Linked DNA regions of Drosophila melanogaster. The protein of the gene in region 1 purifies or fractionates together with the protein of each later gene. This does not show direct contact. Each region holds a gene or a part of one and is shown in the gene's direction. Other genes may lie near its edges.

What was found.
Region 2: the proteins of Cyp1 (region 1) and Fkbp12 purify together in Drosophila melanogaster (affinity purification with mass spectrometry, with the first as the bait; one large-scale study listed by BioGRID). This does not show direct contact.
Region 3: the proteins of Cyp1 (region 1) and Df31 purify together in Drosophila melanogaster (affinity purification with mass spectrometry, with the first as the bait; one large-scale study listed by BioGRID). This does not show direct contact.
Region 4: the proteins of Cyp1 (region 1) and CG42557 purify together in Drosophila melanogaster (affinity purification with mass spectrometry, with the first as the bait; one large-scale study listed by BioGRID). This does not show direct contact.

The regions. Positions count from the first base shown.
Region 1 is NC_004354.4:16,315,033-16,323,418, reverse strand, and holds Cyp1 (cyclophilin 1), read left to right. Parts: upstream 1-3,048; 5' UTR 3,049-3,082; coding exon 3,083-3,340; intron 3,341-4,811; coding exon 4,812-5,237; 3' UTR 5,238-5,746; downstream 5,747-8,386. Other genes in the region: CG9917 (uncharacterized protein), read left to right, coding at 466-1,371; SWIP (strumpellin and WASH-interacting protein), read right to left, coding at 5,806-6,249, 6,310-6,515, 6,580-7,006, 7,073-7,227, 7,282-7,534, 7,597-8,386. UniProt on the Drosophila melanogaster protein: PPIases accelerate the folding of proteins. It catalyzes the cis-trans isomerization of proline imidic peptide bonds in oligopeptides.
Region 2 is NT_033778.4:19,286,798-19,293,529, forward strand, and holds Fkbp12 (FK506-binding protein 12kD), read left to right. Parts: upstream 1-3,311; 5' UTR 3,312-3,391; coding exon 3,392-3,428; intron 3,429-3,588; coding exon 3,589-3,659; intron 3,660-3,720; coding exon 3,721-3,939; 3' UTR 3,940-4,165; downstream 4,166-6,732. Other genes in the region: AANATL6 (arylalkylamine N-acetyltransferase-like 6), read left to right, coding at 1,186-1,854; AANATL4 (arylalkylamine N-acetyltransferase-like 4), read left to right, coding at 2,329-3,003; mip40 (Myb-interacting protein 40), read right to left, coding at 4,497-5,300. UniProt on the Drosophila melanogaster protein: PPIases accelerate the folding of proteins. It catalyzes the cis-trans isomerization of proline imidic peptide bonds in oligopeptides.
Region 3 is NT_033779.5:21,624,043-21,633,177, reverse strand, and holds Df31 (decondensation factor 31), read left to right. Parts: upstream 1-3,245; 5' UTR 3,246-3,485; coding exon 3,486-3,511; intron 3,512-4,201; exon of another isoform or gene 4,202-4,527; intron 4,528-4,591; exon of another isoform or gene 4,592-4,716; intron 4,717-4,968; coding exon 4,969-5,336; intron 5,337-5,420; coding exon 5,421-5,578; 3' UTR 5,579-6,869; downstream 6,870-9,135.
Region 4 is NT_033777.3:29,931,396-29,938,526, forward strand, and holds CG42557 (uncharacterized protein), read left to right. Parts: upstream 1-1,891; 5' UTR 1,892-1,991; coding exon 1,992-2,184; intron 2,185-2,241; coding exon 2,242-2,510; 3' UTR 2,511-2,547; coding exon of another isoform or gene 2,548-2,694; intron 2,695-2,843; coding exon of another isoform or gene 2,844-3,065; 3' UTR 3,066-3,192; downstream 3,193-7,131. Other genes in the region: Cog7 (component of oligomeric golgi complex 7), read right to left, coding at 1-329, 388-1,071, 1,129-1,422, 1,475-1,633; CG42558 (uncharacterized protein), read left to right, coding at 2,548-2,694, 2,844-3,065; eIF2Balpha (eukaryotic translation initiation factor 2B subunit alpha), read right to left, coding at 3,210-3,356, 3,416-3,686, 3,742-3,896, 3,964-4,175, 4,238-4,339, 4,399-4,432; Vps13B (vacuolar protein sorting 13B), read left to right, coding at 4,779-6,062, 6,120-7,131.

The DNA.
Region 1 (8,386 bases):
TATCCAAGGCCTCGACCTCCAAACTACTCTCGCCTTCAACTTGCTGACACTGGTTTTCGACTAAAAAAAAAAACAAAACACTGAAGATTAGAATAAAGACTGAATTCTACGAGAACTTGTTCATTTGAACTAGAGATAGATCGATCGTACGCTTTTATCGGCGGAAAGCCGATAGTGAGCTGTTGCATCGAAAGCGTCATCGACGAAGTGCCATCTCTAGCCGACGGGTGGGATAGAATCTCCAATTGGGATTTCCATCCAGTGATTTCCTAATTAAATTAATTTTTTCCAATTGCCCAAAGGCATAGGCATATTTCGCAAAACGAACAAATATGTTTGCTTGAAGCGCATAGAATCACAAACAAAAGTGCAAATCTCAGAGCTTAAAAACCAGAGCAAAGGAGAATAACGGAAGAGGAGGCAAGCAAAAAGACAAAGAGGAGTGCAAAAAATACAGCAAACATCATGCACAGGACATATGTAAGCCATGCGATATACGCCATTTGGCTGGTTATATTCGCCACTGCCGGCATAATGGCCCAGCTAGACCTGGATCAGATCCAGACCCAGCTGCCCGACCAGCTGAGGAAGTCAAACTTTAGCGTGAACGACGCCAAGGAGCTATTTCGCAACAAATGCATCGAGGTGGCCGGCGAGGAGGCGGGCGTCGAGGCATACGGCGAGATCGAGTCCGGATTCATGGTGCTAACCGAGTGCCTCAATGGCATTGTCAACTACACGGCAATGCAGCAGGAGATACAGGAAGCGTCGCCCAAGGGCGAACTGGATGTGGTCTTCAACAAGTACTGCAGCCGGCGTTCGAATGCCGTCGAGTGTGTGGATGCGTTCACGGCCAAACTGGTGCCCTGTCTGGTGCAGGAGGAGCGCGAGGGCCAGGATGTCATTAAGCAGATCATCCAGAGTCTGCTCAACTTTGTGTGCCACAAGGATGGCGATCAGATAGCCCTGTTCATTGCCGAAAAGGGACCCGAATGCATTGAGTCCCAGAAGGACAACATTCAGCAGTGCGTGAACAGCACGTTCTCCGAGTACCTGAACGTGTCGGATCTGCAGGACAACCGCATCAGGAGCATGCCCAAGCTGACGGTCGGTCAGAAACAGTGCGACGAGATGCTGACTCTGCAGGCGTGTGTGGTCCGTAAACTGGAGCAATGCTCGGACATAACACCGGCGAATCTCGTCGAGTCCATGTTCAACTTCATTCGGAACCAAACGATGTGCCGTGACAATCAGAAATCGCCGCTCGTTGCGGCTGCCGCCAGCGGAGGGAGTCGGGTATTCCATCAAGTGTGGACCCATGTGGGCATCTTTTTGCTAATCCTGCGATTCGCTCTACAAAAGTCTTCTTAGTTCTAAGTCTGGGCGTCCGCTATATATCTCGAATCCGAATCTGTAAAACGCCTTCTCAACGCTTTGACTTTGGCATTCCAAAGCGATTAATCAAAGAGCACGATAATCACTGTTTTTAAGCTTTTGCTTCGCTTATATTAATATGCATGTAGCCGTGGAACAGGTGTCCATAGTTCAACCGCTTTCGGGGATAAGCATGCCAAGGTGCTGCTGCTCCAGGCTAGCCAGCCATATCGTTTTTGTTTGGTGCTTCTAATTTATGTAATTAATTGCCAATTGATGTATGTATGTATGTAGTATTGTAAACAATGCTTATACTTCCTTCTAGTTTTACTTCTGAATCAGAAATTCTTCTGGCCTTTGTCATGCGTTTATCTAATGCTTTATTTCCGTTTAATGAAATGGCGTGGCTTGCGGTTCTGATTCGAGTTGGGTTTGTATTAATCTCTTTCATTTAAATTCACTGAGGGAGGCAAATGGTAATCTCACTATTTCATAGTGGATCGGGTATGGGTTTGGGAAATGAAATGCTATATATGTAAAAACAATGAATGGATATGTTTTGTAAATGAATATACGTATCATTATTGTAATAATAAAGTGATAAATGTAAAAAGAAGGACGAGTTCATTTAAACTGGGAGTTAAAGGTCAATTAGGTGGTGAAAAGTACTCAGAGTAGTTGAGACCGTGCAGCTGCATTCATTACGTTTTCAGAAATGAATCACCAACTAGTTTTCACCTTGAACGCCATTTTCAAATTTCGCGGCAGAAAAACCACAACAAAAGGCGCGAGAAAAAGCGGAAAACAAATTTGAAAACATTGTTCCGATAATTGCTGATTATTTGTGAGCAATCATTTCAAGTAATCGAAAAATAATTTTGAAACAGGCTGTCTTGTTAGGTCAATTATTTTTTATCGTGCCATTTAAACAAAAATTATTTATATTTATTTATTTATTTTCCATCGTTTCTCCAAATTACATTTAAAAGTTTGTAAGACTTAATACTGTAAAACACTATTATTAGTTATTAACTATAGTTTAAAATGGCAAAATAGAAAATGCGACACGCACAATTGAACTATCGAAACGTTAATATTTAAAACAAGTAATTTAAAATAATGAATACATGTATAAAAATAATTAATACATTTGTTTTTAAAAAGCTATAGAAATAGCTGCATATATGCTTTAACAATTTATGCTTAAAAAGTCTTTATAATAATCCTGTGATTTCGCCGTGATTTTTGGGTTTACAATGTGCTGTTTTAGAATAATGGTTATTTCAAAGTGACCACTATTTTTCAATTATCTTAATTTTTTAATAGTCTTGTGTTTATTTCAACTTTAAGTTTTATATTTTAATGGCTCTTTAAAAGCAAAAAAATATTTGATTTTTAGGAGTGATCGCTGATCACGATGCTGTAATTTTTTGTAAGATATTTACTTAACGAAGGCGAATGCGTTGTTTCGATTGGCGGTTTCAAATGAGCGCAAGTAAATGTATTTATTTATTATAAAAATTGTAAAAAGGGCGCATGAACGCGACCATTTATCCGTTTTGATGGGGGAATGGGCAGCACAAAGTGCGTTTATGGGCGCCCTAAAGTGATGTAACAATTGCTGCGACCGCAGCAGCAGCGAAACGCGCGGAATGGAACGCACGGAACGATATCGTAGTATCGTACATGCGGTCGCAAGCCATACACGATGGTCTCTTTTTGTGCAACTCTGATTCGACAGTTTCGGCACAGGTCGGCAGCGGCATTTCAGATTGCGGAGTCCGCCATTTTAGCTAACAAATCTATAACCCTAGCTTCGTCAGCGTGCAGTGTGAATAGGGGTCAGTTGCAGTTTGGAATTCAGATTGTTCGCGAATATTCGAAAGCGTCAAAGATGAGTACTTTGCCTAGGGTGTTTTTTGATATGACCGCCGACAACGAGCCCCTCGGTCGGATCGTCATGGAGGTGAGTTATTTGCCCTTTTTTTTTAATTTTAAACTTAAGTTGAGGTTTTTTTTTTTGTGACATTTGACCAGAAAGTGAAAAACACGTGATTTCCCATAAAGCCATTTCTTACGCCTAAAGCTAAGACTGTGTTTTACATTATTTGCCTCAGGTGATAAGTACATACCGTTTTTTTCTTTTTATTTTTACGGATTTAAAACTTGTACCAAATATACACACAGCGCAAACTCGCCCTCTAATTTATAAGCGACAAGTGCAATTACTTTCCATGACTAATTGCATGACAATGCGCTATGGGTAAATTTTCAATTTTCCAACCCAATTGGACAGGCGCGTTTAATCGGAAAATCTCTATAATTATCTCTACATCGCTGAATTTTGAGCAAACAGGCAAGCAGGAGCACCAACCCCCGCAAATCGGCCATTTGGTGGTATTATCTTTATAGAATGGAATTTTCCTTATTTTAATTGACGTGTCGGCAAACTTTGGCCGAAATGGTGTGCAATTTTTACCGGTATTTTATATGCATCTGTGCATGTGTGCTATATATGTACATTCCGGCGTGGTCTGCGTATGTGTGGCTCATACCCATACACACATGCAGATCAATACACGAACATAACCTCTAAGCGGTCACTCGCGTATGTCTGTATGTTCTTGTCGTGCTTGCATATGTACATGTGTGCATGCGGGTAATGTACGCGCAGATGTACAGTGTACACACAGAGATATTCGGGTGTGAATGCGCGAGTTCTGTAAACCCGTTTGCAAACATGAACTCACTATTAATTCCGCCGATGATGTAATGTACACCTAATTTTTGAATAGAGAAAAAGAATAGGAAACGCGAATGCTTGATGTATATTTTTAGTGGCCTGGGAATAAAGTCATTGCCCGCCAAGTAAACCAAGCCACATGTCTAGGATTTTCCTTCCAATAGGACATACATATGTACATACGCACACTTGAACATACATGCAGTGCGCGAAAAATTCTGCACTTCACGCCGAATTACTACACTAAACAATTGAAGATTTATAGAGAAGCGGCATTAGGAAAAGCATTTACTTGACTAATTTATACAATTGTCTCGATTACTGGGTGAATTGGAAAATTGCTCAAATTCTAGTGCATTTGCAAAGTTCTGTGCATTATATGTATTTTTTCCCTTGGTATAGATATGCACATACATATGAACATGCATATGTATATTATCAAAGGGCTAAAAATGGCGATGAAAAAAAAGCGGCGTCAAAAAACAGCTGATCATGTTTACTGCCGCTCAACATGAATTATACAGAAAATTGTCCAGTCCTCAAAAAAAAAAAGAAATAAATAAGCAAAAAGTAGTGGCAAGGTCATCCGAGTTCGGATAAACAAACCTTGAAGAACTGAAAAAGAGTCATACTTTGTTAGCATTAATTTCTTGTTTACTAACGAAATTTCTACCCTTTTGTTTGTATTTTGCAGCTGCGCTCCGATGTCGTGCCCAAGACCGCCGAGAACTTCCGCGCCTTGTGCACCGGCGAGAAGGGATTCGGGTACAAGGGCTCCATTTTCCACCGCGTCATCCCCAACTTCATGTGCCAGGGCGGCGACTTCACCAACCACAACGGCACTGGCGGCAAGTCCATCTACGGCAACAAGTTCCCCGATGAGAACTTCGAGCTGAAGCACACCGGCTCCGGCATCCTGTCGATGGCCAACGCTGGCGCCAACACGAACGGCTCCCAGTTCTTTATTTGCACTGTGAAGACCGCCTGGTTGGACAACAAGCACGTCGTCTTCGGCGAGGTCGTCGAGGGACTGGATGTGGTCAAGAAGATCGAATCTTATGGATCGCAGTCTGGCAAGACCTCCAAGAAGATCATTGTGGCTAACTCTGGTTCTCTTTAAGAAGGTGCGATGCAAAAGCAACAGCAACATTGCAAGAAGAAAAATCTGTTAAGACGAAAACCATTTGCATTTTCTCCAAAACATTTTTTTTTACCAATTACTGTACTGTAATATTACGAGAAAAATACATAACAAACCAACATATTTTCAATAGACATGTTGGGTTTCCTTTGGCCAATCAATTGTATGTGGGGGCCAAAAGTGAATAGAATTAGTGCCCACCAATGTCAGAAAGCGTTCAATTGGCTATATAATATGCATTAAATCTGTAACTTTAACATTTCCATTCACAAAAAAAAAAACAAAGAAGAAAAACAATGAGACGACAAGAGTCGAGAGGGGCTTAGAAAAATGTTTGATCTTTTGATGTTGGCTTACTTACTACTAATAATAGTATTAGTAATGCTGATTATCTAATTGCATATATATATATATATACCAACGTTCTACGCTATGTACCGGAATCGGAATTGTATTTTCGTCTTAATAAATCTGAATAAACGGCAACCAACTACTCAATTGTTTGTTGTCACTGCTGGGATCTTTGGTTTTGGTAAATGGACATATTTTATTGGAAGAATATTTCGGAGCTACTCAAGGTGGCGTACAATAGATTGTATTCATGCTCGTAGGCGTTCACATGTCGTTCGGTTATCGCCACTGTCTGGTGAAGCTTCTCGTCCAGCTGCTCCGGCGCCGTCCGCTGCTGGCCCGCCAAAATGTCGCGCACCTTGGAGCGCTCCGCGTTCAGGTGCTGCGTGATCGTCTGGCTCCAGCCCAGCTCATGGAACTCCGTCTGCTGGTTCAGCATGTTGAGGATGTAGACCAGGCCGATGGCGAAGCCATCCTCGAACAGCGAGATCTTGGTCTGGTCCTTTTTGTAGATCTTTAGCTTCTGCTTGACCCGGTAGTCAATGTAGTTCATGATGAGCGCCGGTGTGATGAGGTAGAAGGTTCGCAGGTGGTGGTTATGTGGATTGCACAAAAAGGGCTGAAAGCCTTGCAGAAGAAGCTGCAATATAAATCCATGGGTTAAGCTGGTTACCTAACTTGTTAAGATCGTAGACTGCACCTTGAAGTAATTTGTGCTATCGGAATAGCACTCCTTCATGTGACCCAGGCTCTTCTCGTACTCCCTGATGGAACCCTCCGTAGCCTCGTGCACTTTGGAGCCCCCGCAACTGAAGTTGCTGTCGAATCTGGTTTTATACGAGCGATTCCGGAAGTTGGCATTCTTGCTTCCAGCCTGCAGGAGGCGCACATAGCCAACAGCGTTGCCTAAAAGCAATATTTACGTTTATATTTTAAGCATTTTCTTGAATTATGGTCTTTAACCACCTACCGACTTGTGTGATAACCTTCCTGAAAAGATCCATATACGTCTCGCCATTGCTGGAGCAGCCTAGCCTTCTGATCTTCTTAAGAAAACTATCGGCGCGCTCATAGGGATACGACTGATAGGACTTGCTGTGCTTGTGCTCCGTGTGAAAACGCAGCTCCTTGAGCAGCCGCGACTTGATCTGCTCGTCGTGGAGGAAGGTGGAGAAGGTGTAAAACTTTTGGCGCAAAAACTGGTATATAAAGTTGACGGTGGTGTTGATGATACCGGTGCCGTGCGTCTGCACCGAGTTGGCCACGTGCCGGGTGCCAATGATGTCGAGGTGCTTGCTCCTGCTGTTCGTCTCCACGAACACCTGCAGGTTCATGTTGTAGGCATACGAGGAGGCGAAAGTGTGTATATTCCGCATGATCTGCAGCACGTCTATGCCCTTGAAAGTGGGAAAGAATTGTTTGGTTAATAGAAGAGATTGCTTATTGATGATTCAATTGGTTACCTGGTCAATTATCTGATTGGGCAGGTGGTCATCGATGGGTTGCAGCTGCAGCACCTTGTTGGCCAAATGACGCATCTTTTCATACGATTTCCAGTCGTGCGGAGCGATTGTCGTTAAGTTGTAGAACGTGGCAGTGAAATAGTTCTCAAGATGATCTAAAATATGTTAATGAATGGCATGATCTCTCAGTTTTGTAACCGATATCTTACCTTTTATAATATTGTAATCACCATCGTTTTCAACTGCAACTGCATTGATGCAGAGACGATAGTCTAAGGCACTTTGCTGGAATGGTTGATCCTGGCTCTGGAAGAGATGCGAAAGGGCCTCCACGCGCAGAAAGAACTCCAGGTGGTTGCTCAAAAACTCAATGATCAAGTCATTCGCTGATTGCTTGGGACACCTTGAACCCCTGAACATGGCCATGATCTTGTCCAGATGATGGCTCACCGACACGAGGTTCTGCCGATGATAAATGGCATAAACATGAAGTTGCTTTGCCAGAAACTGAGTAAGAAACCAACCTGCAAGGAGTAGGGATTGCGTTGGAGTTCGGTGTACTCCTTAAGCACCGAAGTGTCCAGAAACCAGTGATTATATACCAGACTCGAGGACTCCGACGTGTTAAGTTGTCCACCAATATTCCGCATAATGTCGCTGATACTATTAACACGATGTAGGATCGATTTGATCAACTTTTGATTGTCGGCGGGCAGGAGGCGATTATCTAGAAACTCCCCGAGGGCTAGATTTACGAAAGTCAAACGTTGCTTGCTCGGAAATCCCATAATGGACTTCTCGGCCAGCTTTATTGTGGCCAAAAAGTTGATCTTGCGCTGCAGCAACTTGAGGACAACTATCTTCTTTTTCGTTGTGTGCAGCAGGTGTATGACCTTTTGCTTCTGCCATTGTATCAGTGAGCTGATAAAGCGCACGAAATTGATTTGGTTTGACTCAAAGGTCTTCTGAATGACCTTCAGGTACTGCAGCAACCGAGAGACGACGATCCAATCGTTTCTGGTCATGGGCGTCATCAGAGCCACGTGCCGATTGATCAGCGCGACTGCCAGCAGGTTAACTTGATCGGCATAGGAGTGTCCATTGAGAATCAACTGCAGAAAAGTCTTGAGGTGTCCAAAGACTCCCACATCGAATACCCTTTGCATTTGGATGGACCACAGCGATAGTTGGACGCCCAATTGGCGACAGGTCCTCTGATCGCTAAGCCTAAACTTCTCCAATACTGTGCTATGAACTTTTGGGCCTTGTCCATCTTGCGATCGGGCTGAAGACTTCATCAGGGTTTTGGCATGT
Region 2 (6,732 bases), on another chromosome or scaffold:
GAATCGTCTCTTTTTATATGTGACGAAGTCAATGGAGGCACGCATTATAAAACTATATTTTGTTCGCATAAATTTGCACTGAGAGAAATAGATATATCGAATTATAATATGCAAGCAATATTATAATTCTTATTTTGTAACAGCGATGATTTTGATAACAGTTTATAATAATATATAATTTATAATAATAAAAATGTTTCGTTAAGTAACTACTTTATTTGCACTCTAAAAAATATATCAGCCTGTTAACAAATATGGTAAAAGCTAACAAAAAACAGTTCATAATAATATTCATTGACCAAGTAATTTGATTCTGTATTCACGTGAGTTTCGAATCTATCAACATACTACACATATGCAAATGACCTACACTGGAAATAAAAAAAATTTACATTTTACTATAGATTTCTTACTGATGTATGATAATGGAATAACCTTTAAAGCAATTCTGTATTTAATATGTTAATTTATATGTTAATTGAATGCGAATGCTAATAAAATAAGAAAAGTTATGCTCGAAAAATGTTATCATTATCAAATTGGCAAACCAATTTTAGGCATTATTAAAACCACGTGCCAGTTATGCTGATATTCTCTTTTGTTTGACAGGTTATTATGAAGATGTTTGAAAATTTCTCAAATATATCCAAACGTATCGAGTTCTGGACAGGGAAACACAGTATCGCTGCTGCCAATAGTTAACAACATCTGGCCATTTGCAGAAGCAAACGTGCTCGCTCCATCTGAAATTATGCGGAATTGGACAGACGAGGAGATTTTCTGGATGGACAATGGATCAGAAGAACGCGCCATCCTGTCATCCGGACAGGCACGAATCGAATCCGAAAGCACGTAAGATTCTTCATGAATACTGCATTTTGCTGATGCAGAAGAATTGTGATTACCTCTTGCTTTAATTTTTTCCTCTTCCTCTTAAAGAAACTGTATCTTATTGTAGATTAGACCTATCGGTAGATTAAAAGATTAATACCAACATGTTCATTTTTTTGGAAATGCAACGTATTATCTTATTTGAGCACCACCTTGAATATAGCAAACAATGGAAGTTCTTGAACTTGTATTTGTAGATAACTCAGTTCGGTTTCTTTAAAAGGCTCCTGCAGTCATGTAGAATGAACCATAGTATACCAAGCCGGGAAACCAAACATCGCTGCTCAGTCCAACATGATTCTTAGTCAAAATGATGGCATAACCGTACGAGTTATGAAGGAGGACGACTATCCAAGAGTGAAAACCTTCATGACGGACTACTTTCACTACGACGAGCCCATGGGAATGGGTCTCGAGGAGCCCATTCACCTGCAGCATGAGGAGGAAGTGGATAGGCAATACCTGGCGGTGATCAGGCAGGGACTATCCATAGTGGCACTGGACGATAACAACGGGGGACTACTGGTTGGCATTGCCGTGGCGGAGACGATGGATCCCATCGAAATGGCCAAGCAGCACAAGGAAGCCGAGGAAATGGAGCCAAATGCTTTGGGTCGCAGCAGGAAATTTATAGCCAAAGTGGAGCGCGAAGCCAACATTTTCGAACGCTTCGGAGTCTCCTCCTACCTGAGTCTGCTGGTCATCTCCGTTCACCCCTCAATGAGGCAAAGAGGTATCTTGGTCATACTTTCCAAATGTCTCTTTAAATTGGGTCGCCTGCGGGGACACACTCTGTTCATCACCAGCGGAACCAATCACTACTCCTCCCGGTCGGCGATGAAAGCGGGATGTGAGTGCATCCATTCGGTGGCCTATGCTGACTACAAGGACGAGTTGGGTCGGCCGATATATAATCCACCAGCGCCCCATACCCACATTCGGGTCTTGGCCTCAAAAATGTAAAAATTAAAATAATTTATTAATTAATTATTACTTTGGCCTTGGCAATTGATAAAGGTCGTCGAGCTGGAAACGCAAGTCCATATGGATCAAATAAAGTAATAAAATGTAGAACGGTCTACTTTATTGTTCAGATATTGTGTTGATTATGTATTTATCGACACATGACCTTGCAATAATTACAAAATCTGATATTAAGTAATCACTTTCCACTCGATGTATTTATCCTCAAAGATTTTGGGTCAGAAAACCATATTCGAAAAATGTTTATTACTAAAAGGATAAGTCAGTCTGGCACTTCATTAAAAATAAAACCAAAAGCCGTTGGAAACAACTTTCTCTTCGCCAAACAGAAACAATCTATAAATATGATAAGCCATTATCAGTGATAAGCGCCGAAGTATAAAAGCCATGTACACATCGGCGTCCTCTTCTGTCTTAAGAAAAGCATATAGAACGAATTAGCTCCGGATCGCGATGACTCCCACGACAATAGATGGCGTCACGATACGCATCATGCGCCCAGAGGATTATGCACAGGTAAAAGCCTATATGGAGGCTGAGTACTACACATCGGAGCCTCTGTGCCAGTCCAGCGGCGAACCCGTTCACCAGCAGAACGAGGAGATCAACGACGCCTTCAACCAGTCGATAATCGCCGAGGGCACCAGCCTTTTGGCACTGGATGAAAACGATGGTGGCCGGATTGTGGGTCTAGTTCTGGCATGTGCCAGTTATCCCGATAATGTGAATGCAGGAACATTGAATTTGAAGCTCGAGAATGTGGAGGATAACGCTTGGGGTCGAATGTATCATTTACTAATGAAGGCCAAGCGCGAAGTCAATCTGTTTGAGCGCTACGACATCCCGAAGGCGCTCTACTCCCACGTGACCAGCGTGGCCTCGTGGAAGAGGGGCAAGGGCCTGGGCTCCCGCCTGGCCGCCACCCTGATGGAGCTGGGCCGATCGAATGGTTTCCCCCTTATGATGGCCTTCTGCACTAGCTTCTACTCCGCTCGCCAGAAGGGGGCCTTGGGCATGGAGTGCATCTATTCCATCGACTACGCCGACTATAAGGACGATGAAGGACGAGTGATCTTCACACCGGCAGCCCCACACACAAAGCTGCGAGTGATGGCAATCAAACTGTGACAGTTGATAACAAATAACTGAGTCGAGGAATTTAAATAAATTATATAACTATAGTTATGTTTATTTAATACTTAGCACACTTTTGGGGGACCTATACAAGTTGACCAATGACCAATGTGTCTCGGACTTTAAGATAAGAGGCAAGATCTTGCACTGCTTTATTCTTTCGGTTCATAGTAAACAATTCAAACGGACGCGCCAAAATACAAAAACGTCCTTATCGATAACTCGGAAAGCAATTGGTTTTGATAATTAATCAAATTGATGTGTGCGATAGTTTCCGCTCACCGACCATCGCCCACCGCTAGCTGTCATTCGGCGACGCGACGAACTGAAATCAACGTGCTTATTTTCCGCTCGGTAATTTGCCAGAAAAAAACTAATCGAAATGGGCGTACAAGTAGTTCCAATTGCTCCTGGTGATGGTGAGTATCCAATGATTGGGTTAGAATCCGCAAGAAATGCCGTAAACTACCGGCCTTTCTAACCTATTTAGTGCATTTTCGCAATGCACAATTCGGAAATACCTGCGACAATATGGTCGTCCCGCTCACACACATCCATTTTTGCATTCCCCGCCCGCAGGCAGCACCTATCCCAAGAATGGCCAAAAGGTCACGGTCCACTACACCGGCACCCTGGACGATGGCACCAAGGTGAGTACGAATCCCGATCCTCGCCATCCCCAGCTAATGATCCGCCTTGAATTCCACGCAGTTCGATTCGTCGCGCGACCGCAACAAGCCATTCAAGTTCACCATCGGCAAGGGCGAGGTCATCCGTGGCTGGGATGAGGGAGTTGCCCAGTTGAGCGTCGGCCAGCGCGCCAAGCTGATTTGCTCGCCGGACTATGCCTACGGTAGCCGTGGCCACCCCGGCGTCATTCCGCCCAACTCCACCCTCACCTTCGACGTCGAGCTGCTCAAGGTCGAATAGGCGCACAGGATGCCCAATGTGTATACCCCAAACCAAATCGCAGGGGGTTGCGGACCGGCGCACCGGCGACGAGCCGAAGAACATCATAATCGGAACCAGAACAATCCAGCAGCATTTGCCAACCCAAAATAATAATGATAACTTCATACACAGCTCTAAACTAGAACTAATTTAACCGCAAAGGGAACGCATCTTCTACCAATACAAATAAACATTTATTCAAGTCAATGACAAATGTCTTTCTTATCAAAAATCTTGGGATAATCCAATCAAATCAGCTGCGGTTGCCTTTCCGTGCTGCAATACAAATGCATTTCATATTATTTTTTAATCAGGAAAATATGCAAATATAAAAACGCTTTATCATTCTCTTGATAGACTTGAAGTGGTCTACTTGACAAATTTGATTTTATTTTATATAAGTATATAAAGTGTACAAGCATCTTATTTGCATATATATTCGATTTGGAAACAGGATTTTTTTTAATTCTTTGTGCACAATTAATCCAAATTATTTTTCATTTTCTATACCACTTCCAAAATCACCTAGATACGCTTCAGTTTTTGCAGACCAAGCTCATAATCTTGTCAATAACTTCATATCGCTCCTTTTCATACTTCTTGATATGCTTTATCCAGTGTCCGCGCACTTTCTTCCAGCGGTTCATATTGGAGGACAGAAGATCGGAGGTACTGGCACCTTGGAGAGCCTTTTCCCGCTTCTTGTCCTCCTGGCTGAACTCCAGACGAGGCGGAATTATGGGCAGATCCGTGGACTTGGCCTGCGGGAGCTGGTTGATCACCTTTATCTCGCCGCTTTTAATTTGGGACAGGATTTCTTCGCCGTTGTCCTCACGTTTGGTGGCCGTGAGTGAAGCATCTGTTTGAAATGCACCCACAGCTGGATTCTTGGGTTGATTTGCCATCCATGCGCGGCATATGGGGTACAAAGGAGTCTTATCCTGGTATTTGGACAGGTCCAAACTTCGCTCAAACAGGCGCATTACGTAGGTCTCGCCGGGCGCCTTCTGGGCGACTGCCGCTGCTCCAACGCTCTTCTTGTAGAGCACTCTCCTGGCCTTGATGCGTCCTCCGGCGCCGGCTGCGGCTGCACTCGAGGATGTCGAAGGCTTCTCGCTAGAGCCCGACGTGACCGTCTTGACTTTCGGATCTAGCTTTACCTGGTACTGACGCTGCTGTTGCTGCTGGATGAGCAGCTTCTTCGAGGGACGGCCCCGAATGGGCAAATCCGACTCTGCGTCGTCGTCCGGCGGCAGGTTTGTCGTCTCTGGTTTCTGCTCCTCACGGCGCGACTCCCGCAAGCGCAGGGCCGTTTCCTTCTTTTTCGGCACAGTCTTCATTTCCAGAAATCTTGTATTCGACACGAAAATTAAGGGAAAACAATTTCGAATGCCGAATCGGAAATCAAACGGACTTACGGCGCTTCACAACACTGAAACACCACTTCGCCACGCAACACTACATAAGTCAGTGGTATTTCAAAAAATACCATAAATTAAAGAAAACAAACGGTCTTGGCGCCTAACGCTAGCTTGAGAAATAATTCTTTGAATTATTTGTAGCTTAAATGAAAAGAAAAAAGAATAACATATATATTTTTAAACAAAAACTTAATACACATTAATATTTGACTATTCAAAAATATTTAATAGACTTTGATTGTTAAATTAATACTTTTGTAGATTAAAAAAAAAAAAACAAGGAAATGAAAGTCTTAAAAATTTGGTATTTCTCGATTTGGTAATTTTAACCCAAAACCTTTCGGGCTTTTCAACCCACCTTTTATGGTCACACTGCTGTTTTGTGATCGCGAAAAGAGCGACGTGAAAAATACATTTAATTAAGTTTACTGCGAAAAATAAAATAAATAACTAAATTAAAACAAAGCGGAGCTTTTGCGTGAACTGTGTGTGTAGTTGTGAGTGTGTGAGAAAAGAAAAACGAAAACAAAGCCAACGAGGAAATCGAAGGGGCAAAAGTGGAAAAGATTCAGATTGAAAAGCACCAAAATATCGAAATCACAATTTGAATGTCAAAGAACAAACGACAAAAAGAGCGGAGCAACAAAGGAACATTGGAAAAGTCAAGAATTTAACTTATTCGGTAAGGATGCAAATTGTAAATCTGTGGATTTTGCTTCTTCTGCTCACGCACACATCCACATACAATTGGGAAGTGCACAGGTGTGGGTGGATCTGCTCTGTGTGCAAATAACAAATTGTGAAAAACAACTCGCACACATGCAGATCACCTAGTGCACCAAATAAAAGCAATAAATAAACACATTTCCAAACGGGCAACAAGTTGTGAATGCGTTTTTTAAGGGGGAGGGGCCATACCAAGTTTCCCAACGTTTCACATTTTCAATCGATCTCGGTTGTTTTTATATATGTATGGATATTTTTTATCTACTATTGCGTAGCTGCCAATGTCACCTGTTTTTTGCTCTCTCTCTCTCTCTCTCTTGCGCTCTCTCCCTCCCTCTCGCTCGCACCCACGCTGGCTGTAGCTGGTTTTTATCTTGTGCCGTTAACACAGCCATTACGTGTCTCTTTCGCACTCGCACTGCACATTGGTGTTCGTGTGTCTGTGCAAGACTGCACGTAACTGTATTACCCATTCGTACATGCGTATACGTATTTCCGCCTATTGATAACGGCTGAAACTCCCTCGAAATGGCCGTCTTTTCGAAATATGTAAACGAATCGTTCGGGTACATCCCCCGACCACCACCCACCCACCGCCCACTCAACCCCCTCCAAGCGCTTCTAA
Region 3 (9,135 bases), on another chromosome or scaffold:
TGTTCTGTTAAAACTCGTGATCCTTTTTTGCAGCATTCGACACCATAGTAGACCACGGTAACTGTAATCAGAAAATTTCGTCCGCTCTCTCGCTGCTCTCTACCCCACCGCTGCCTCTTTCTCTTCATATGACTACCTCTTCATTTCCCCATTGAGAAATATTCGACTGACAAACTAAGTAACACACACCTCTCGTCCCTTTTCTTGTGGAAAATCACTTTCTTGTCTAGGTATGCGCGTACATGTGTTTCTCCTCTTTGTGTGAGTTAGGCTCAGTTTCTCAAGGCTTGTTTAAATGCTCTATTTGATTTCATTTGTATAACAGCTCGCGAGCGTGTGTACCCTCTGCCTATTGCAACAAACCCTCGTTTGCTTTAAATTTGTATCCCAGTAACTAACAGCTCCAGCATATAAGTCCAAGATATTTGGAAGTTATTGATAACCGTCCGCCTTGATTACTTCCTTAACATACGTTTGCTATGCTGGTTATTTGCTTTTTCGATGTGTTAAATTTTTTCTGCTAGCAAGTTTGCACGCAAGACACCGAGCAATATCCTTCGACTAAACTAAGCCGCCCCGATAAACTTGACTGATTGTCGATTTCAGCCTCACCAGCAAGGACCTCCGTTATTTCATGTTTAAACGCTCAGAGGTCGAACGAGAGCAAGCTTTTTCGGCTGAAAGCTCGTTTTTGCGCATGCGATCGAAGCAATGCACTGATAACGGTACAGCTGGGCTATCCTGATAAGAGTCCCTTTGCACAATAGCGTATTCAGAATATTACCGGAAGAGCATAAAGTTAATTAAATCTCATTAAGGTCTCCCGCCAATAGGCAACCACTGACCGATGAAGAAAACGTCATGAATGCAGCTGACCTTAAAATGAGTGCAGCTGCTATTTGACAGCGCCTGTGTGAGTGTGTCGGGGTGGACTGCACTATGGGAAACCTAACCACTTTTTCTGGCCAAAATTAATAACTTCAGAACGGAGAAATTTATTAGGAAAAAATTCGACAAAATTTAAAAATTGTTCAAAAGTGTGGACGTGGCCGGTTTCGCGGCTTTAAAAATGCTTATGTATGGCAATTTATATTTTTATCGAATTTTGGGTTGAACATTTTTTTTGCTTTTGCCACTCACTTACTCATAATGCAAGCCACACTGATTAAATGCCTTACAGAATGTAAATAACGCTTCAGAAAAAAATTGGTTAATTTTTCATAGTAGAGTTCTGTTGCATTTATTGATGTCCACTAAACATAGTATACAAACATGAGTAAGAGATATTTACGTTATACTTTTTATACATTAGTAAGTAATTTGGGGACCAAAGAATTTTATTCAGAATAAAAAAAAGGCATTTCCAAGTCTATTTTTCTAAATGTTATTTTTTAAATACCACAAATTATGAATTTAGTAAATAGATCCGTTGATTTTTTTCCTTAAAAAAATCTACTGATTTCAAATCAAAGCCCGCCTCAACGATGTAAAAAAACTAGTAACGATGACACCTTTACTGCTCTGAAATCATCTTTTGTGATGAAAATATAATTTTGTTCTGTTCAAGAATATAGGTATCTTCATTGATATGTACGTGCTTATCTACGTATATAATTCTTTGCTGCGAACTTAGACATTAGAGCATAACTGATTTGAATTCAATCTTTTTTGTGCGTTCAAGGGGATTTCAAAATGGTTGAGAATATTAACCTTAGACCAGTAGTGCCCAATTTCCTGCGTCGCGGAAAAATCTGTTTTCTTTAATTATTGGTCGATATATCGCCTTAGAATATCGTGTCGAAAGTTTCAAAAGCTAATTCTCGAAATTTTGGGAGATGCCCTTCGGATTTCGGAAGTCATACTTTCCTTGACGGCAATCTTTAAACCATGTTTGGTTCTATATGAAGTAAAGACTTTTCAATACAAACGAATGCCTCGTTCCTATAATTATATTTTAGAAACAAGAAACAACCCCAAAGCAAGGCTAAATGGAATAAACCCAAAATTTTACAGACGATGAAATCGAAAACCCGAAACAAATCACCCACCTGTAAAGCAAACATCCGTTGTCCAATTTTATTAAATCAGCATGTTTTCACGTTCCAAGCCGACACTCACAAGCTCGAAAGCAAAAGTTTGAATTTCAATAAATAAAATCTTAAAAATCTAATAGCGCTTGTATCCAAGAGCGAATGCACTTCACTCCAAAAGCCAAAGACACTAGATTATTCTAGTGTCTTTGCAAAAGCCCATTAAAATTTTACAGCCCAAAGTCCATATTAAAAAAGCTCGAGACCGAGGATTGATCGTCAATCAATATAGATCAATAAGTGGAGTTTAGCATGAGACCTAAAATTAAATGTTGACTTATGAAAATTGAAAACTTGTAATTATATGTATGTATAATAGCGTCTATGTTCTTCGGCAATGGAATCTCAGTCCTAGTGTATTGTTTTCCTTGCCAATAGCCTAAAATATTGTAAAATTTTAGTGAAGCAGAAAATTTACCAGCTGCCTGGTAGCGCACTCTAATTCTTTTTTCTATTATACCGATCAAGGGACGCAGACAAGGCCACTATACATATGTATGTATGTACGTACTTATGCGTGCATATCTGACTACCTGAAAATGTTTTCAGAGGGGTGAGGATTATTTCCGTCGGTTTTATGTGTTTGATTACATACATATGACATATCTTTAAGATATTATTTTTAAGATCTTGTAGACTGTGTAATTTACAAGGAAATTGATTGATGTAATTTAATAAAAAGCTTGAATTTTTTAAAAATGACGATATGTGTATATATATATATATGAACATACATGTTTGTGTGTTTGTTTATTTAATTTTTAGGAGTACCGGATCAAAAAAAAAACTTAGAATTGGGAAGGTGTATTACACGAAAAATCACTCAGGTCAATGAGAAAAACAAGGATAGGAATGCATTTGAATATTTTACCTGCTATATTTGTGTAGCCGCTAAATAATAGTTAAAAGGTGGCAGCCCTTTTTAGGGGACCGTTATTTTGAAATATTTGTCACTGCTATATTTCATCTCTTTAATATATTAAAATAAAATTGTAAAAATCTATCAGCATAAGCTAACTCCGAATTAAATAGAGAACGGGTGATAACGATAACAAACAAAGATATGTTTTCCGGAGGCGGAACTATCGCAAGCGGACTACCGACGTCTACCAACACTACAGGGCGGCGCTTTAAAAGCCGGTCCGACGCTCACCGCTCTCTCATTCGGCGTTTTTCTTTGTGACTGTGTGGACGTTCTTAATTGTACGGCAAAATCTCCAGCAACCAAGCTACTTTCTTAGCAAAGCTACTAAAGAGGAAACTATATTGATAAAATTTCGTTCTTTTAAAATCTTTGTGCTGATATTTAAGGCGTGCTTGGTGATCCAAAAACCCTCAGTTACAACGTGTTTTCTCGCTTCGCGTTTGAAAAGTAATATCTAACAGTAATTCAAAATGGCTGATGTGGCTGAGCAAAAGAAGTGAGTACTTTGCTTGCCTTGTTTTCGGACGTTTGTGGATTTTGTTTAAGCAATGGACTTGTAGCGAATTTTGCTAATGAAAATCTATGTTATTTGCCGAAAAGATTTGGAAATTTTCTTTTGAATTCTGTGTCTATATACGCAAACCGCTTGTTGGCACTAATGTAGTTGTCTCGTTCCCGCCAAAGGCAAAACGGTGTGCGCGCAAAAACCGACGCCGTTTAATTTGGCGCGGCGTCATGGTGCCTTCTCGCTCTTTCTCCGGCCGGCAAACAGCAACGATGAATTATTTGTGTGTGTGTGTGTAGCGGCGGAGTAATGCGTTGAGTGTATGCGGACGACAGGCCAAATGCGCAAAAGTCTATAGACATGTGTGTGTGTATGCGTGTGCAGCATTCAAGTTGCCGCTCTTTTCTTGTGCTGTTTCATTTCATCTGTCTGTGCTACCTCGTATGTTGCTTTGCTGCGTTTCTCACCAGACATCAAATTTCGAGGCTTGCCTTTTATACCCATTTGATAGCTTAAAGCTCGAAGCTTGAAATTAACAGTATAAATTTTCACGCATATCTATATTGGCATTACCAAAAATACTCCCTCTTTCCCTATCGATGAACACTTATGTATATATTTTTTTTAAGTAGTTATTATATGTTGCAGCTTATAATACATAACAAAACAAAACTCATGCCTAAGGCTGTTCCGGTTTTCTTTGAAAGACGCAGGTTGTATGACGTTATGCTACTGTTTGTATCGTTTGGACCGTTATTTTTGTCGTTTAGCGTTGCTACTTTGCAACTCTCTTTTTGTTCGCCCTATAGAATTCTATCTACCTCAGATGGCGAGTATCTGTTGGTAGATGAGTGCGAGAGAAACGACTATATTGTCATTAATCCCATTAAAACTGGTTTTTATTTCTATCTTTGTTCGTTTTAGTTTAAACGGGTCTCGCTTTTCATTTTGCACGTCTGCAAGCGTGTTTTTGGTTCTACCCTGTTCTCATCTGTTGGTAGAGAGCACTGAAATAACAAATGAATATATGCCATTTATATGAAAAAGAGCGTGCCGCCTAATCGCACTCACCTTTTCGCGCTTCCTTTTGCGTCGCAGCTTGCACGAGTTGTTGATCCCATTTTTGAAAAACGCCGGCAGATGTAACAATGCACTTTTTTTTTAGTTTTAATTCCGAACGTCCTGGGGCTCTTATGAATAGAAAGTGGAGGATGAAAACATAAACGTTACCTACCGGCGCTATATTGAAATTTTTCTTTTTTTTTTTTAAATTCAATTAATATTTAATTAATTAATAATTAATAGTTTTAGTTTTTGATAATTTTTAATTGATTTACTGTTTAGAGTTTTGTATGTAGTAGAATGCTATGCATACGAAGTTCAGTTCGGCCACCTTCGGAAAAAATTATAAGTGCATACTGACTTTCGTCTCTGATTATCACCCACAGTGAGACCCCTGTTGTCGAGAAGGTCGCAGCTGAGGAAGTTGATGCTGTGAAGAAAGATGCAGTTGCCGCCGAGGAGGTAGCAGCTGAGAAGGCGAGCATCACAGAAAACGGTGGCGCCGAAGAGGAGAGCGTAGCCAAGGAGAACGGAGCCGCCGACAGCAGCGCGACCGAGCCCACCGACGCAGTCGATGGTGAAAAGGCGTCTGAGCCCACTGTTTCTTTTGCCGCCGATAAGGATGAGAAGAAGGACGAGGATAAAAAAGAGGATTCCGCTGCCGATGGGGAGGACACCAAAAAAGAGAGCAGCGAAGCTGTTCTACCTGCTGTCGAGAATGGCTCCGAGGAGGTCACCAACGGTGACTCAACAGGTATGATGATATCAATGATATCAATGCCAAACAAATTTTCCACGTTCATGTTCTTATTGTTCAATTTTTATTATCGCCTTACAGATGCTCCCGCCATTGAGGCTGTAAAGCGGAAGGTGGATGAGGCTGCAGCCAAGGCAGATGAGGCCGTCGCCACGCCGGAGAAAAAGGCTAAGCTTGATGAGGCCAGCACAAAGGATGAGGTTCAGAATGGGGCCGAGGCTAGCGAAGTGGCCGCCTAAGGGAATCGCCCGCGGAGCAGCAAACTCAGTAATCTACTTATTAAATACTTACTAACACAAAAAAAGCAAATCACAGAAATTACGGTTCTACCGCCAGGAACCCGGACTGTATCCATTTTCCGCTCTTGTGAGCGGGTGATACGTGGGTGGCTGCTTGGGTGGCGGGCGCAATTCTCCAATAACAATCCGGCAATGGGAGCGTAGTTTTATAGCGTACCGGTTCTCTCTCTCTCTACTAACAAACAACCTACCAACCAACAATACCGGCAACAAACGAAAACAAAAAATCCATTATTATTTAAAAACTTACTTAAAATCTTAACTTTAAAGCAAAGTATATATATATATAAAGCGAAGGATTAAGAGAACAATATTAAGCGAAATTAAGATGCGAGACCCTCTATGTTTTAAGAATAAAAGTTGTAAACAAAAGCGTCAAATTTAATAATTGTAAAAAAAAATACGAAGCGAATGAAACAAATTGCAAACAAAATCTTTAAGTAAGAAAAACATCAAAACAATTACGGCAAAATAACATATGTAATCCTTTACAATTTTTAATTTTACAACCGTATCTTATTTTTGAGTATGAATATTTATATCGAACAAAGTAAAACTAAAAATTCAGTAAAATGTAACAAAAAGCTGCCAGCAACAACCCCAGAAAAATGTATGCCAACCGGCTAAAAAAATACTACCACATAGAAACAATAAAAAGTACGAAAAACAACTTTTACAGCAATACTCTGAAATGTTTATTTTTAAAATGCTTTCGAAATCGTACCTTTTTTATTTGTAATCAAGGTACCACCTATTTCACATTCCCAATTACATTTTATTTACTTGTCTAAGCCTACGAAATAGTCTGCGACGAAACTCTCATTAATGTTCAATGTTTAACAACGATTTAATGGGCAGGAAAGGTAATGGCCAGTAAATCCAGCATTCAGCAAAATCAAGATTCGAGATTATTAAAAAATAAAATGAAACGTAAAAATTAAAATCAAACTGTAAGCGTAACTTTTATTAATTTGAGCATGTTTGTATTCGCACAAATAACAGCTGTCGCCAATAGTAGAAATTATTATTTTCTTGGTAGGGTGCGGTCCAAGTACATATTAGTGGAAAGTAAACTATTTTAGGTAATATGATTTCGACACAGAACGTTACAAATAGTATTACTATTTTGCCTACGGTAAGTTGTTTTTTTTTTTGTATTTTTGGACTTTCGTTTAATTTTAATCAGAAAATTTAATATTTGATAATCTCTTGACTCATGACATTATATCCCATATATTTACGTCAATTAAGAAGCCTGTAAAACAAACACGGCAAATCTACAGTTCACACTTTAGCTAAAATTACATGAAGAATAAACTCCGCAAAATTTTATTTCATTTCATTTATTTCACGCTTAATGACATCCAATTTTTTTTTATTTTAACCTTAACAATAATAAGAGTACAGGCCAATAATTAAACCTTATCTACTTAGATATTAATATCAATATGAATAATATGATAATGAAAATATTATACCGATTGGGAAAAAAATTTTATGTAATTGAAAAAAAATCTAAGCACTTAAAAAAGGCTATTATCTAAAAATTACAATTAAGGTGGATAGGTCAAATCATTTATATGCTGGTGCACAGCCTCTTGACATTTAATAGAGAAATTTTGGGACAATCTTATTAATCTATTATAAACCACTTCAATATTGGCTCGGTTATGTAAATGAGCTGTTGAGTGATGCCAAGGGTGATTAAAGATTAGTTTTAATATTTTGTTTTGTCTGATTTGTAGCAGGTTAATGTGACATTTGGCCATTTCTGACCATACTGGAGCACCGTAAAAAGATAGTGCTTGGAAGATTGACCTGAACAGAACATTTTGTTTTCAATGTTTTATCTGGAATTTATGTTTATAAATGGATAAAGCGAGCAGATAATGGCTTTAAGTTGTTCGATTGTGTCACTTATGTGATCTTTGAATTTTAGCCTATTGTCTAACGTGATAGATACCCAAGTATTTGACAGTTGTTTCCCAGTTGTTTCTGCAAAATTAATTTCGATAAATCTCTGGGAAGTGTTCCATCTTCCAATCCTTCTGGATACCAATTTATACTAGTCTTTACCCTATTTTACCCTTTATCCGTAGACAAGATTATTTGAAAAGATTTTATCAGGTAACGTTTTTTTTTTTATTTTTTGTCAGAATCAATAGTCTAGCCAAAAAAAATAAATGCCAAAAATCTTTATCAAAGGTGTGGGCGCGCGATTTTTTGTCGGCTTGTAGGAGTGGAAATCTTTTTAAACATGATTGATTTTATTCATAAGTTTGCAACGCAGGTAAGAAAATATTTACGTACTCATATTATTAAGCATGTATTTTATAAGATATTTTGTCGGCCGTATGAACGTCGAGATTTCAGGAACTATAAAAGCTGCGTTGAGATTAAGCATACAGATTCTAGAGACACAGACGCAGCGCAAGTTTGGTTTGTCTTGCCAATTTCTAGACTATAGCATTCTCTGTTGTTTTTATGTTCAATTTATTTTCCTTCGCAGAGCATATTGTCATGCCCACAGTTTCGACATTTTTTTGGGGTCTTTTTATTTCACTGCTTGTTTTGTTAATTTCTATCAGTAATGCTGCGTTAATCGTAGCAAATCGTGGCCAAATCTTTTGATTTCGTTTTTAAGTCTGCTCTGGTTTTTGCAAAATGTTTGCTATTGGAATGTTTTGTAAACAGAAAACAGCTATTTAACTGTTTTCCAAACAATAGAGCAGCCACCTTCCTTACAGTTTTAATTCCGTTGTTCGCAATTACTTTTTTACTGGACATTGTCCATTTATGTAATTAAATTAAATAGCATTATTTACGATCAGCACGTTTGTCCCTCCTTTAAATTTATTAATGAATTCTTTTATATATTATACAAGTGTTTTACTTGCCTTATTCGTTTCACCAACAGTACGGCAACCTTCGCGATAACTTTTGGTGACGTCTTAATCGAAAATTGTTGCCGACGGCAAAATATCGTATGTCAAATCTGAGGTCAGAAAAAATTTTTCTAAAATAACTAAATGTCAGAATAATCTTGTAATGGTGTGGAATAAACATCAATAGACCACGTATTTCCCCTTAGTAAATAAAATCCTATTTGATAGAAAACAGGCATTTACTTTTCATTACGGCCATTCAAAAGTGCCCGTTTTATAAATAAAAAAATTCTTACGATTTTGCGATTTTAAATCGAAATCGTAAAGTTTTTACGAAATTTATTATCGGATCATGTTATCATGCGCCACAAGCCAAAAATTAAAAAAAAAAAATGTATTTGTTTTTCATTTTATTACTATATTTATGTATTGTGTATTCATATGCCTGAGGATTTGGAAATGTCTAATTTGTACTCCCGCTTGCTGAGTAACAATAGCTGAGTGCTATAGTACTATCTTTTGTTGTGTTTACTTTGACCTAAAGTTTATTTGTTTGTCATCGTGAATGTATATTAGTTGACTTCGCACACTGCAGTCCATAGAGATGCATGC
Region 4 (7,131 bases), on another chromosome or scaffold:
TCGAACTGATGCAGTTGAACCTGAAAGTCGGCCAGGCATTGCAGCTGAGACATGGTGTACTGCAACAGCGACCAGTTTTCACTCTGAGCCGCATAGCTGCTGGATCCCAGGCTGAGTCCAATCTGACGTTGGATGCGCCCAAAGCTCTCCAGCTGCCGCTTGAATATGCCGTTTAGCAAGGTGATAAGTTTGCAAAGAGCCAAATCACTCGTAATAGAGGCACAACGTTCGCAGGCCTCTTTCAGCCACTCGTAGAGCTTCCGGGTACTCTCCTCTAGATGTCGCACACCATCGCTGGGAGTGGCTTGGTTGGAGGAAAGGCGATCCACCTGAGATGGAATATTTATGAATAAAATTCAAAATTCCTTAGCTATTACATGGCATTACCTGTGTGGATAGTTGGGTCTCCTCCAGGCGCGGGTACTGTTGGATAAACTTGTGGAAATACTCGAAAATCGCCTCACCGAGCAGGCGATGCAATTCCTCGGACAAGGTTATGTGCGATTGCTCAAGAAGGGAGTTTAAGTGCAGCACAAAACTGTGATTAACCTTGGCGAACAAGGCCAGCATCTCTAATCTTTCATTGGAGGTCTTCAAAAGCTGCAAAATATGGGCATCCCGTGTGGGTTGCAATGCCGGCAATAGTTCGGCAATAACCAGGAAGGGCTGCGGGGAGTTCTCGCCGAAAAGGTTGGAGCACCACTTGACCTGGCGCTGGCAGTGCTCGAGCAGCTGATCGTAGTAAAGGGTAAGAAACTGCTGCTGCTGAGGCTGGGACTCCGTGCCCTGCAACTCCAGAGTTTGCTTCCATTGCTGCTGCCAAAAATTTTTTTGCACAGCTCGGTAATACTGCTGCAGCTGTGGCAGCCGCTGAATGCTGGTGAAGATCTGAACGAAGTGCTGGGCTTGCTCCGTATTGCCTTCAGCAAAGCACTGTACCACGCTGGGGGAGGCAAGCGCCTCCAAGCGGTTTTTGAAGTCCTCCACTTGGGTCTGTCGCTCAGCGTGGCCTGGCAGCTGTTCCTGGGCGTGCAGGGACTTTTGCAGGGCTATTAGCTTATCACAGACTCCCTGTAAAGAGTTAATTAATATGGGATCTCAGTAGTGAGACTGCTTTGCTATGCACACCTTTAGATCATTGCGTTCAAATCCATCCTCTAGTTCAGCTAGTAGGTTTCCCCAGCCATCAGACTCCTGTAGCGATTCCTTGGCCACTTGGAGCTTTTGGCTTTTGGTGTTCAAGCGCTCCAAGGTGGCCATGCATTCGCCGGTTTCGCTTTGCACTGCAGCTACCTCCAATCGCATGGCACTCATCTTCTCTTGCAGCCGGTGTACATCTGCCTGCAGCGCTGCGGATTCCTTAGCGATCCTTGGCATGCTGGCCACCACTTGGCGACTTGACTCCTCCACAGCATTGTTTACCTGGAAATCGATAATGTTTACAACAGATCCATGGATGTGCAGCTCCACTTACGTTGAATATATACAGCTGCAACTTGGCCACGTAACTCCTGATGAAGGCGGAGGCAGCCTCGCTATCATCGCGACCATTCTCCTCCACAAACTTCTTGTAGTTTGCGTTTATCCATTCCGCAGGACTAAAAGTTGTCTCCGAAAGAGCCGAAACATCCATGGTGTTGATGGCGTTGATCCAAGCAGTATGACCGTGTCGCGAGCGTGAAAATACCGGGTGGGTAATTTGCGGATAATTTGTTTAAATGCGAAAACTTTTAATGCTAGTCTCTTTAAATATTATGCAGAGCAGATACATGAAAATATGTTCTTTTACGATCTTAGTTAAACAATTATTTTTTATTAAATTTGAGGAAACCTATTAAAATTAAATTATTGCGGATGTCGTGCGGATGTCGAATATGCTCGCGGGGCGTTTTGGTATTTCAGGAGGATTGCCCTAACGGGCACACTGCAAATAATACAATATTTTCGTAGGAGTTTTTTGGATTTATGTAGGTTTATTTGGTTTTTAAAACATGTCACTTGGCAATGCCGATCCCTGGCACTTGAAAAATACTATAGTTAAGCAAGGAATCTCCGGGTCCGCGAATAATAGCGAAAGTTTTGAGGACAACTTCACGCCCTTGCCCTCTGGAAACGAGAGCAACGTCCAAAAGGACGGGAAAATCGAGCCCCTTCCGGATTCCAGCGACTATTTAAAGCTACTTGGTACGGGGACACAGTTTGTCAAACGAAGAGCAGCCCACTAAATAGCATTCATTTCAGAGCGGAAGCTGGCCCGGGTGCAGAAGGGCAACAAGTTGTTGGACAACCTGCGAGACAAGCGGCAGGATTGCATGCGGGGATTGCTGTCTTCGGAGGGAGTGCCCATTTCCATTTTCGAGCAGTTCCTTGAGCTAGACGCGCCCATCGAAAGCGGTCGCCTCCATCGGCACCTGCTGCCCGTTCAGGCCGTAAACGTGGGCGAAACTTTCCACATAGTGGAGCACGACGCTCTGCAGCAGTCGGCAGAAGAAGCTCAGGAGGAGGAGTAGGAGGATAAGCCCTCGGTTGAGCATTAACAAAATCACAATGGAATCCACGTTCGGTAAAGTCTTCATGTTTCTCACGGACCTCGCTTGGAAAAGTCGTCTCACCATCCCTGTCATAGTCACAACTGCATTTCTCGTCATGGACATCCGCCTGCAGATCGAGATCAACATTCAGTCCGGGCAATTTGTGAGTGATGCAGTTGTCTTGCAAATCTAATTCGTTGATACTCGTATTTTAAAACCTGTTTACTTGATTGTTATGTTTTTTTTACGGTTATTGTTGCTTGTTATTAAAATGCATATGTGGCATTATAAATTGGTATTTTTTTTGTTTAGAATGCCAGCGATGTGGACGACGTTCAGGATGGCCTCGACGATCAGTTTAGGATGCACGATCACTGGTCGGACGACGAAAGCGGCAGTGACATCTATACAGATGAGGAGTACACAAACGACGATGGCAACAGCGAAGCGTCCCACTACAGCGTGGACATCTACGATCCCTGGGGGTCAGAAGACGAGGTAGACGCGAGCTATTCGCGAAGGATGCGGTTCTAAGACACAATATAAATTCTACATAGGTGTAAGCGAGAGTAACTAGCTTTATAGCTTATGTACATTCAGTAATGTCGAGCCCCTATTTATTCATCTCAAACAGTCATATTAAACAAAGGTATTTAAGTGCAATATCTTTATTCGCCCTTACATGTAGAGTTTGATCAACTCGTCGCTTACGGCCGAGGGTGTTAGTCTTCCGAGGTCGGTGAAGAGCAGGGTGATGTAGACGGGTGGCGTATAGTCGACCAGCGGGTGCACTTTGCTTACATCGTTTAGGTGTTTGCGGGAGTACTATAAATAAACCCACTCTTAATCGCCGTTCCTGCTTTAATGACGCAGTAAGAACCTACCTTGTACTCGTTTGGCAGATCGCGCTGATTGAGTGGATACAGACGGCTGAACTTGAAGCTTTCGGCCAGAACGTAGAAAGGTTTCTTCATCTCACGGGCGCACAGACCCATGGTGTAGGTGCCAATGCGGTTGATAATGCCACCACTCTCCACCACGGCTTCAGCCCCCACAAGCACAAAGTCCACCGATTCCATAACATAGCCGGTGGCTGAGTCCAGAATGAGCGTGCAATCGATGCCGGCCGCATGCAGATCCTTAACCATCTCTTCGCTAAGAACGGACAATGCTTACACCTGAATTCTATCGGAAACACACCCTAGCTTACCCAGAGTTTCCCGTGCCGCCCTGCGTCACATAAACGTGGAAGGACTTTTTGTTCTGCGAGGCTGTAATCAGCGCCTTGAGGACCACCCGGGATCGGGAGTGCGTCAATATACGGCAGCCATCGGTAATGAACCTTTGGGCCTGCTGGGCAATCACCTGGATTGGGTGGTACAATGAGGGGTTAGTTCATGCGCTAGCACTAGCTTTTCGTATGAGAGCCAACCTGCCGGGAATTGAGCAACTTGGTGAGGAAGATTTTTCCGCGATTCAACATAATCTGCCGGCACTCCTCCATGTGCTTGTCGTCCAGACTGAGGGTGATGAACCTGCAAAAGAGCTCTCCGGCAGAAACAATGGCTGCTATAGACAAATCCGTATTCCGCATGGCAGCCACCGCTTCCCTCATGGTTGTGTGTAGAATATGAATGGTTCCAACTGAGGAATATGTTGTAGATGATTTAAAATGGTTCAGTAAAGAGGTTTATTAGCCCACTAACATTGTTTCTTTTCCAGGATCATTAGCAGAGTCCTGATAGCCGCAATGCCGGAGGACAGATCCTTGTCCTCGTCCAGGAGCTGCAGGAAGTATTTGACCACATCTAAGGGTGAAAGCTTGTATTATCACTTCTGCGTAACTTTAGACCCATTCTTAGCTCACCAAAATCCTGGCCATTTTCCGTAATTTGCGGCATTTTTATGAAATTGTGAAAGCCTACCGCTGCACGTTAAACGTCAACAAAATAATCAGCTGTTCGAAGGCTTATTTACACTTCGCAATTCACAGGTTAATTTATCGATTGCCAATTCGCACCTTCCGATAACGATAACGATTGGCAGATTGCCGGGGCTGAAACGTAAACAATCCAAAATTCTATGGCTATGTTTGTTTTGTTAAACATATTCGGCCCAGAATTGTAGCAAAATTCACAGCATGTAAATTCAAGTTAACCGCCGGCAACGCATTAAATGAAGAGTGTCATATAAGTGAGCAGTCAACAGCGCTGGGATCGAGGCCTGAGCCTCCGGCGTCGCCACACCATGTTCAAACTGGAGTCCTACATCACTCCGATTCTGCTGAGCTACGTGGCCAAGTACGTGAAGAACTTCCGCGACGAGGATGCCCAAGTGTCGCTGTGGGAAGGCGAGGTCACCTTCCAGAATCTGGACCTGCGCCTGGAGGTGCTCGAGGAAGAGCTGAACCTCCCAGTAGAACTAGTTTCCGGCCACATTCATGAACTCAGCATCCTGGTGCCGTGGACCAAGCTTATGTCCGAGCCCGTGAAGATCGTCATCAATACCATAGAATTCGTGGCCAAGTTGCCGGATAGTGAGAGCAAGCAGCGCAGGGCCTCCTTCCAGCGGGAGCAGCGAAGGAAATCGAAGCGGGAGTCCGTGGAGCAGCCGGATCAGACGAAGAGTCCTGGACCGGCAAGCTCTTCCAGCGTGGTCAACAAAATCATCAACAACATCAACCTGCAGTGCCACAACATCATCCTGAAGTATGTGGAGGACGACATCGTGGTCTCTATGAATGTGCAGACCCTTAACTTTAGCTCCGCCGGCGAGGACTGGAAGCCCACTATGGTGGACATACACCCGGTGTCCGTCGTCATGCGCAAGTTGCTCCAGGTCTCAGATTTGACCATCTGCTTGGACAAGCGCAACACAGCTGGTAGGATAGAGGTGTGCCAGGAGCCGGTTCTCTACCGATGTACTCTGGAGTGCCGGGTTCTCCGCAAGTACAACGCCAACACGGTGTCCACAACAAGCACAACACGCATTGGAGTTTTCACGAAGTCGCTGGATATCAACGTGTCATCTCTGCAGTTCCCCATGGTGATGAGGCTGGTCAAAATGCTGCTCGAGCTTAAGCCAGCCGAGTTTGAGGATGACCCCCAGAATCCAGAAGATCAGGAGGCGGTAGCTGAGGGCAGCGAGTCGCAACAGGGGACCGAATCCGCAGGACGAAGCGTCTTTTGGTGGGCCTGGAGCCTACTGCCCAGTTTCGATACTGAGGCGCCTTCCTCGTCCTGCGACACTCCCACTGGTCACGCCTTCGATCTGGGAGTCTACGCCGAGGAGCTGAACTTCCAGCTTAAAAACTCGGAGTACTTTACCGACCAGAGCATGGGTGGCATCAAGCGAATACGATACACCCCAATATTGCGAATTAGTTTGGGCGGACTTTATTACGAGCGGACAATTCTAAAGGAGTGCGACTGGGCCAACGTCAAGGCGGGCCTTTCTAGCATGTGCATGGAGCCATTAGGTGCTTACCGTAGCGACGATCTCGTGGATCGCAACTTGGTCAATACCCAGGAAGTGAGTTGATCCTAAGACTGTTTATTGCCTTCACTCTTTACTATTTTTTATATAAAGTTTCAGCAAGAGCGATCCTTTATTGACAAGAGTCTGTTTGACGAGAACTACATGTTCGCCGAACGGTCCTGGTGCAGCTACAACTACGCGGATTACGTGGCCAGGAACACGGATGAATACATGCTGTTTCGCAGTCCTGTTTTGGCCTTCGACGTCATCGAGCACCGGGTGCCTAAGCCCAGCAGCCATCCCGTGGCGGAGAGCCAGCTCAGAGATCTGGGAGTTCGCATCCAGTATCGTCTATTGTCCGCCGGAATCACGTTCCACTTTTCGCAGTCGTTCGTCCAGGTTAAAAAGGTAATTAGTGATTTAATTCGTCCTTACGATTACCCGGGATATCGTTCAGAATCGATGAAGGATGAGGATCGCGGTGTCCCCGAGCCGGAAAACAAGAACTCTGAAATGACTATACCTGATCTGGAGTATCTGATGGGATTGGTGCCCACTTGTAACTACAAAATTGAGTTGCGTAACATTGTGGTTCAGTTGTATCCCCGCCAGCAGCAAGATGAGTCATCCGCGATCAATCAACACCAACTGACGACCACAGTCAGACAATCTTTGCTACCATATTTGCAGCTTAAGATCTCCCTAGTCGAGGGCACAATGTGTGGACCAGTGAATCCTGTTCGCCTGGTCCAACTGATTACTCATCTAGAAGAGAAGCCTCGGGACGTGGTTAATGCCTGCTACAACTGTTTTCACTTCAATGTGAAAAACTTGGCGCTTATGATTATGAATACAACTCCGGATAATGGACGTGCCAAGCTTTTGAATATTCCACGCGTTCAAGTGAACTGGAACCGCCTTTTGGCGCCTCATCTTTGGCGTCAAAACGAGGCGCCTTTAGAGACTTCGGAAATAAAATCAGAGATCATAACTTTAGAGTTCTCAAAGCGCGAGCTAATCATCGCAAAGCGCTTGGTGCCGTTAATTTCGAGTTTCAGTGGCCAAGATCTTTGTGATCTGGCCCACATTGTAGCCAATGTCAACGTCAATTCTGATGTGATCA